3 linked regions of the Solanum lycopersicum genome follow. Each later gene encodes a partner of the first gene's protein in a complex. Links are inferred from orthologs where the notes say so. Each region holds a gene or a part of one and is shown in the gene's direction. Other genes may lie near its edges.

Region 1 (2,702 bases):
GTGGGGAGGATTTGATAGAACAGATAAAGGGAGGATTTATGGAGTTTGACAAATTGATTGCAACACCAGATATGATGCCTAAGGTGTTTCTACAGTCTTTGCTATTAAAAATGTCTGACTTGCCTTTGATGTTCAATTTGATCTCCTTTTTCATTTTTTATACTGTCTTCGACAACCAGCCTATGAACTTCTGTCTCTTGGTTTTAAGAATCTCATATTGAAGTTTGCACAAGGCAAAGAGCGACTGTCTGTCTCAAATAATTCAGCATATCTCGCTCCCAAAGTTTTTGTGCATGCGTTTGGGCCTTGTCAACCTGGATATATAACTTAACAATGCGTAGCTTGTTCTGAACCAACTCACTTGACCTGGTGAAAAGCTCTAGCTGTTGTATCTTTTCTTCTGAAAATACTTCACAACTAAAATAATGATTTGGTTGAATAAAACATATTTTGTTAAATTCTATCATTCCCTTCGGAGTCTTTCTCTGTCATTCCATGTTCATTTGTTCATATATTTTGCTAGGTTGGTGCTCTTAAAATTCCTTGACCTCAAAATCTGGCTAGTCAGCATCTGCATATTTTCTAGCAAGCCTTCTTTCTGAAAAAGTTAAATCATAAAATTCTGTTGTAACATTGTGCATGAGTTTTACATTCTTCATGTGCCATATCTTGGAACAGCTTCTGCATTGTATATTTGTGAATTATGGTCCATCTTACTTTATCATAAATCTAATGCTGCAGGACTGATGGCAATATTAAGCCTAACTTAAGCTGAGTGATTAATCGCAGAGGCTCCTCTCCCCGTCTTACCATTTTAATGCTCACTGACAGCTGATTCAAAAAATTGAACCTTTTTAAGTGACTTGTCTAGAAATTAGTTTTATTAACACCTGAACAAGTATCTGTGGCTCATTTTACGTAATTTTTTTGTGAATTCATATTGATACATTCTCTACTATTTGCGGCAGGTTGCTAGCTTAGGTAGGGTCCTTGGTCCTAGAGGACTCATGCCAAACCCAAAAGCTGGTACTGTCACTACAAATATACCTCAGGTAACGTGTCAAATATTTTCTTCTTGTGAAAAAGTTGAATCAAAATACTCTCTTTCTTATGTTCTATGTGCAATGGTGGAATCCCTAGATCTTTATATTAAATGGGAAGCCACACCATATATATCCTAGCTTGGAAGTTATTCAGAGTTAACAAAATGTGAAACAATGTAGTTAATGAGTAGGCAGTGATGATTCACTTAATGGACTATTTTCTTGCTCCTTGAAAATGTTTTCAAGTATGTAAACTTGTTGTACTTCCTCCAGGCTATCGAAGAATTCAAAAAGGGTAAAGTAGAATACCGAGCAGATAAAACTGGAATTGTTCACTTGCCATTTGGAAAAGCAAATTTCTCGGAAGAAGATCTTATCATAAACTTCATTGCAGCAGTGGTAAGTTTTATCGTTAGCTCCTATTTCTTATACTTTTGTTCCAGAATAGTTTGAATATACCAACAACAACATACCGAGTAAAATTCTAAAAAGTGGGGTCTGGGGAGGGTAGAATGTATACAGACCTTACAACTACCTCATGGAGGTAGAGAGGCTGGTAGAAGCCATTGTAAATTAATTCAACTGCATTTCTTTGAATGAACAGAAATCGGTGGAAGCAAACAAACCATCAGGTGCTAAAGGAGTTTATTGGAAGAGTGCACATGTATGCTCGTCGATGGGGCCATCCATTCGGTTAAACGTAAGGGAGATGCTGGAGTACAAGCTTCCGAATGCTTAATTGAGCGAGACATGTATATTGTATCTTCTATCATCTACCTAAGTTTCTTCGGCGCCTTATCAGAGCTTCCATTTTATGAGAGTTAGGATACAAAGTAGGTGGAGTTTGAAAGGAGATCCAAACTTCATATTGTCAATATCAGTGTGGAAGCATTCATAGGCACAGTTGCTAAGAGAATAATTTTGTTTGATATTGTCAATGTTTATGTTCAGTTTAATTCTTACTAGGTGCTAATGTACATTATGCTTCGATTTGCTAAAAGGGGAGCTAATTCAATTTTCAGAAGTTTTATATGCTGCAAGATTCTCTAATTTGTGTTCATCTCTTGAGATTCTGCCAACAACTGATTGAGCTGAATAAACCTATCAGTTTTTAGTATTTTTCTTTACTTTACCACTGTGGAAAAGGGTCATACGCATGTACCCATGGGGTGGTAGTTAATTTTTTAGGATAATTTTTGTCCTTCATCACTTGCGATAACAAAAAAGTCGTCTGAAAATACTCTTAACATCGAAAATAAATAAATAAAATAAAAAACCACAAGACAATTTTATTTTTTCGTATCTAATCTAAACAATTTATGTCTCTTATTCCTAAAGAACGAAGCATAAAAGTTCAATTCATAATGCCTTATTATAAAACATAAACTTAGTTCTGGCATAACTCATGAGTTATGACTTATAAGACATAACTTAGTTTCTATGGAACTTATGTTTATCGAGAAATGTGTTCAGTCTTAAAACCCACAAAATCATGCCTCAACAGACTTAACTTATTTCTACAAGACAAAATGTTCTCTAAACTTACGCCTTACGAATGATAACATACAACTTATGTCAAATAAAACAACAAAAATCTCTAAGATTAGGTCATAACTAAAGACACTCTGATCCATAGACATGTACAAAAAGTTAAAAGAT
Region 2 (2,412 bases), on another chromosome or scaffold:
TCTTCTGAAAAACATAATTAGCTTGAAATTGATAAGATCATAGATTTAAATTCCGATCGACATAAAACCACTATTCTATTTTCTTTCATCTTTGACTATCAGGGTACATGATACTGGATCGGACACCAGAGTTATAAAAATATGCAATTTAACTCTTTTTCCAATAAAACAAAGCACTAATTGCCAAAATGCTAGAGGTAACCAACTCATTTTTACTCGGCTATAGGATGTTTTGGGCTGATTAGTGCAGATGAAGTTGGTCAATCCATTAATCTTGATGATTCATATAAGTGGGGGAACAATAAAGGTCACGGACTACAAATGGGATAGACTGGCCTATAATATTACTCACAAGGCTAACAGTAGATGCAAAGAGACGTATATGTTTGTTCTTTTATGTGTAAGAATCATACTCAGGTGTATTTTGTATGACCTACTTATTTTCAAGTATCTTTTTCACGGTGTTTGATTGTCATGTAATAATTGATTGAGTCGCCTTCAACATCAAGTGATTGAGTTCACGTTTGATGGATAAAAAACACTATTAATCCTTCTGGAGTGGGGTGATTTTACACATATATATTATAGCAAGGAAAGAGTAATAGGTACACGTGAACTCAAGTTGTGCCTAAATAAGCAACTAATAACAAAAAAGTGTTATTATGGTAATGAAAAAATAAAAGTATCCATTCAAGTGAAGTTTACTTCAATATCATCGAAAAAGGAAGGAAAATGAAACGATTTGACACCAATTGAAGGAACAATTTAACCTTTTAGAAGTAAAGTCATTTCCTCTAAACATGTAACCTACTAATAGTCAACATTCACTTCTCATAGTTATGTCCAAAATACAACTACTATGCTCCATATATTATACAATAACTTTTATATTAAATCATATAATATCAGAGAAAGATTAAAATAATTATGACTAGTTGAAAACATTACCAAACATACAGACACAAGTTGAGGAATTGTGTCCCATGATCTTATAAGATTATTACTCATTTGAACTCAATTAGGCCGTGTACTTTTGACTCTAAATTATATTCACTTATGTACTAAAATTTCATAAACTATTCTTTAATCACAATGACCTTTGGGTCTCTAACTAAGAATTTCTCCGTCTCTGCCCTTTATACACACCGTCCATCGCTCCTATCGATTGTGAAGTTACGTTTAGTTTTCAGACTTAATATATGAACATAAATGGTAAGTTATTATTATACAAAAATATAAACTATACATAAATTAAAGACCAACACTAAATAGAAGCAAAAGTGTAAATGATCCCACAGATTTATTTGGGCCAGACCAATTGTTGTTCTACTACATCCAACACTCAAATAACCCAAAAGGGCTTTAAGGCCCAAATGCCAAACGGTGTCGTAACCTTAGCAGAAACTGAAGTCACCAGAAGATAACGAAGGCAATCCACTTCAAAGGTTCCATTAAACACAGCCAGAAGAAGGAAAAACCTTTGAAGAGAAGAAAAAAGAAAATGTCAGCCTCCGCCATATTCGGGTTGCAGATGGCGGTGTTGCCGCGTTCCTCAACTGTTTCAGCGACCGGATTCACCGGCGGAGCCACCAGGTTGGCGTCGGCACCCACAAGTATCGGGGGATTGGTAATTGAGTGCTCATCTAGGCCACAGAAGAAGGCTACAGCTCACCATAAGAAGACACGTCCACGGAAGACTCAAGCTTGGGATATTCGACGTGGACCAGCTGTTTATGCTCCGTTACCTCCCTTACCATCGGAGTGGTCCTTTGCCAGTGATGAATCGGGTCAACCCGCTGCCGCCGGAGCTTCAGAGTCCGACGCCAAATCTGAGTAATTTTTCTGTAACTTATCATTTCGGCTTTTGTATAATGGTGTTTTCCGTCTGATACTTTGGGGAAATTTGCAACTTGTTCAATTGCAGTTTTGGCGCAATAAGTGATTTGAAATGAATGTTTTACGCTTTACTTTTTAATCTATTCAATGCCACTGGATAATGCCGTAGCTTGTGAGATAATAAACAATATCCTTCGAATATCGGTTCCGTATAATAAAATAGCAAAATTATATATTATGTAAAGCAAATATCAAATGTGATCGGGGAGAGGGGTCTCGTACTAAAAACAATGAATGAGAAAACAGTAGCTATGTTTGTATTTGCATTAAGGCAATATACTCGCTCATTCAACATCGGAATCCTTTGAACTATGTCGCAACAACCATTCCGATCAAAACCAAACTATCCAGTAGATTAGACGAGCCAACAATGTACATTTTATGTTCCTACTGTAAATGGCATATTTACAAAGTATGAAACCCAATTATTTGCCCTCCAGACAACATTTACCAAGGCCTCAAAGCTTTTCTTGAATCTATCAATTATTCAAAGACGGGAAACAAAAAAGACCCCAA
Region 3 (3,767 bases), on another chromosome or scaffold:
TGTTTGCCAAGACAATGTTGGGCTATTACCAGCATATATTGGTGCTCTATTATTTTGTGATGGTAGATAGATTTAGTGCTATAGTAGCAAAATTTCAGTTGTTGCTACTCTCAGCAACAGCATGCCCAGTATCTTTCCACGAGCGAGATCTGGAGAGGGTGGGATGTAAACAAACGTTACTCCTACTTTTGCTACTTTATCTTATATAATTTGAGGGTTTTTCCTCTAGTTCATAAATTCTAAAATATTACAGTTGTTTGTACCTGAGAAGTGTTGTAAAAACCTTCTTTATGTCTATATTAATTTGATGTTACTGGAAATTGAGTACCTTTTAAGATCATTTTGTCATATATTAAACACTAAAATAAATTTCAGTCTTCTTTTATTTGTGTAATTTTTTTGATTTATTTTTTTTTCCTTCCAATTTTGCGGGCTTGATTTTTAACATAACAAATGGCATTACTTTTGTTCTTATTTTACTCTTCTTACCACGTATTTGTAATCTTACTTCTACGTTTTAAAGATAGAATAATTATTTTTTAAGAGCCTCAAATTAAATAAAACATATCAAAAATAGTACTAGCACTATGAAAATTAAATATAATGTATATGTAATTGCAAAAAGTAGATGGGAGGCTTTACATAACTAACCTCGAGTCAAAATTAAACAATGATGGCTTCAAGAGTAAATGACCTATTATATAATTTAGAATATTTGTTAATCTCTCCATTTCAAAAAGGATGGTCTAGCTTGCCTTGAAACAGAATTTAAGAAGAAAAAAAAATTTTTTAATCTTGTGATTCTAAATTAAAGTTATGTCAAATGTACCAAAATATCCTTTAATCTTGTGGTCTTAAACATGTCACGTGGAAAGTTCAAGTTAAAATATTATGAAAAAAGGAAATGAGTTTTTTGTTTTGAAACAGACTAAAAAAGGAAATAGAGACGTTCTTTTTGAAACGAAGGGAGTATTATGTTACGAGAATATGTAAATTTATACTATTTCTAATACAATTATTTTTAAAAAAATAAATAAAGGATTTCGGGGTAAAATAGTCATTTGGCTACCACTGCAGATAGGATAGGCTTCAACAGATAAAATTGAGAGAGAGACAGAGAATACCCAAAAAAAACCTCTCACTCTCTAACAATGGCAACCCTTTCCCTGTGTTCTACATCTTCCCCCTCAACAGCACTTTCCAAGAACCAAACTTTTCTTAACACCCTTTCTGTTCCCAAAGCAAATTCCAATGTTACTTTTCTATCTCACTCATTTTCCTCTCTCAATCTCCGTTTCTCCAAGCCCAATTCTTTATCCTCTTTTGTACCCAAATACTCAGAATCTGAAGCTCCAGTAGCTGAAGTTGAAGCTGACCAAGAAGAGCCTGTTGTGGAAGCCACTAGCTTGGAACCAAAACGGGAAGAAATCTTTGCTGTTGTTATGGTGACGACTCACTTCCATTCATGTTTAAATTTGTGTAGACATATCTGTTTGTTTTCAATTTCGAAATCAATGTGAGGGTACAATTTAGATTTTTATTGAAAAAATTATGAGGTCCCAAATGAAAATTTGAAAATTCAGCGGAAAATGTTTCAGTTGTCTGTTACCTTGAATTTTTTTCTCGAAGGAAATAGGAAATTGATCTATTCCCTCTAAGGGAATGTTACTTTGTTGTATAGAGATCACAACTTTGGTTCAAGATTGTCATGTGCTCAACCTTTGATATCACAAAAGCAGTCGGAATTTTAATAAGGGGAATTCAAAATTACTCAGACCTATTATTGAAGCAATTTCTCGAATTAACCTTTGCCACTAGAACGAAAACTTCCTTTATGTCAAACGGATTAGAAGTTCCAAAAATTTGTTTTCATGAAGAATGTTCCACCACACCTCACTCACTTAGTTCATATTTCGTGTTTGCTAGTACTGTTGATACATTACTGCTTCCTATGGTGTATGTGGTGAAAATAGGGAGTGTTACAATGAAATTCTTTCGTTCTGTTATTTATACGTCAATGCCATTCTGTGATGCTTAGGTTTAGCATTCTGTTTTAGGGTGTCTTAAAGGAACAATACACATGTCTATATGTTTGTGTCATATTGACTTGGCAGTGGTGGTGGCTATTGGAAATGTTAAAATAGTCCGTGCTAAATAAGCTGAACTGAACTTTTTATATGCTTAGTATTCTCCAGTAGAGTTGGCTGATGTTAACAGAAAACTATAATTATTATGAAGACATGACGAAGATTTAGTACTTGGTATATCCTTACCTGTGTTCTGGACACCATCCAATTTCAAAAATCTCAGTCTATGTTCTCTTTGGTTTTAGTTTAATTTCGTTTTACAAGTGGGCCATCTATTTTCGGTAGGCGTTTCCTCTAGTTAAGTTGCAAAGGGGTTCATATGGCAGATTAGAAGTAATATAACTAATAAATAACTGATAACTATCATTTAGTTCTAACTTTAGGTGTTATACAGTTGTCAGAGGGAATACATATCTACAAGTCCATGCAAACATTTAAGCAAAAGTCTAGTAATTGTTGAAATTTGATTTTGAGGTTGCCATATTCTACACTTTCATCTTTTATTTAATGTGAATTGTGAACTATTGTATTTAACCGGAGAAAACATTCATGTTTACTACTTATTTGATGAATATTTTTTCTTTTCCATGTGGAAAATACTCACTCTTGCGAGGAGATTATAGCTGCTATTTCAATCTGATCATTATTCCTGCTGCTAACAATTTTCAAGTCCTCTAGGTGTCAAATTTTGTGCTTTATTTTGTTCTTTTTTCTTTTTTTCAGATGAATGTGACACTACCCTAATATAACTCTATGGGGCTTGTCTTTAATACGTTAAGCTGTTTGTTCATTTTTGCTCTTTCGCTTTCATAGGTTGGATCTCGGCAATATATTGTTTTTCCTGGGCGGTATATCTACACCCAGAGGCTTAAAGGTGCAAATGTCAATGACAAAGTGAGCATTTTTGGTCTTAATTTACAATTGATTTCCCAAAATCTGGTTACCTCTCTGTGGCTTTGGCTTTAGTTACGTGAGTTGTTTTTCTTTTTCCTTGTCTCGCTATCTCATATCAACATTGTGGTGTCCAATCAAAAAGAACTTGCTTGCAGCAATTTCTCAATTATGTCAAAAGGCATCAATTTCAACCAATAGTGACATTTGCTTGTCCTATTTCTATTATCTTTAATACATTGTCTTCACCAGTTATTTTCCACGGAAGCTAACACTTGATATAAGGGTTATATGTGTATGTCAAGGTTTTCTTGCCATATTGGCAATACTCTTATTTCAAAATTTCCACAATGAGGATCATTGTTGAAGCATCTATACTTGTTGCTTCTGCAGATTATCCTAAACAAGGTGTTACTTGTGGGAACAAAAACAAGTACTTGGGTTGGAAAACCAGTGGTGCCAAATGCAACAGTCCACGCTGTTGTTGAAGAGCAGGTCAGACATCATTCTTCCTCTGCTGTAGTTTCCACTGAGTATATCTTGTTTACTTGACATATCTGTTGGCTCATTATTACATTTCCATGCAGTTGAAAGATAAGAAGGTTATCGTCTTCAAGTATAAGAAGAAAAAGAACTACAGAAGGAATATTGGTCACAGACAGGTATCAAAGAACTGTTTTTAGTGATATCTGAATAACTATAAAGTAGTTTGAACTTTTTTAACCTATCTGTTTGCCCTTAAAGCAAGGCGCACCGTAGTCTATCATAGTTTTAACTATGTCTGCAAAT

Evidence for each region.
Region 2: large ribosomal subunit protein uL1c (region 1) and large ribosomal subunit protein cL38 share a complex: the UniProt entries of both Arabidopsis thaliana proteins name them as parts of the 50S ribosomal subunit. The link is inferred for Solanum lycopersicum from reciprocal best matches to the Arabidopsis thaliana genes EMB3126 and PSRP6.
Region 3: large ribosomal subunit protein uL1c (region 1) and large ribosomal subunit protein bL21c share a complex: the UniProt entries of both Arabidopsis thaliana proteins name them as parts of the 50S ribosomal subunit. The link is inferred for Solanum lycopersicum from reciprocal best matches to the Arabidopsis thaliana genes EMB3126 and RPL21C.

What each region holds. Positions count from the first base shown.
Region 1 is NC_090800.1:78,436,315-78,439,016, forward strand, and holds the end of large ribosomal subunit protein uL1c, read left to right. Parts: coding exon 1-83; intron 84-968; coding exon 969-1,052; intron 1,053-1,316; coding exon 1,317-1,442; intron 1,443-1,647; coding exon 1,648-1,782; 3' UTR 1,783-2,093; downstream 2,094-2,702. UniProt on the Arabidopsis thaliana protein: This protein binds directly to 23S ribosomal RNA.
Region 2 is NC_090803.1:63,903,535-63,905,946, reverse strand, and holds large ribosomal subunit protein cL38, read left to right. Parts: upstream 1-1,501; coding exon 1,502-1,837; downstream 1,838-2,412.
Region 3 is NC_090805.1:43,261,863-43,265,629, forward strand, and holds the start of large ribosomal subunit protein bL21c, read left to right. Parts: upstream 1-1,028; 5' UTR 1,029-1,151; coding exon 1,152-1,445; intron 1,446-2,900; coding exon 2,901-2,981; intron 2,982-3,371; coding exon 3,372-3,473; intron 3,474-3,565; coding exon 3,566-3,640; intron 3,641-3,767. UniProt on the Arabidopsis thaliana protein: This protein binds to 23S ribosomal RNA in the presence of protein L20.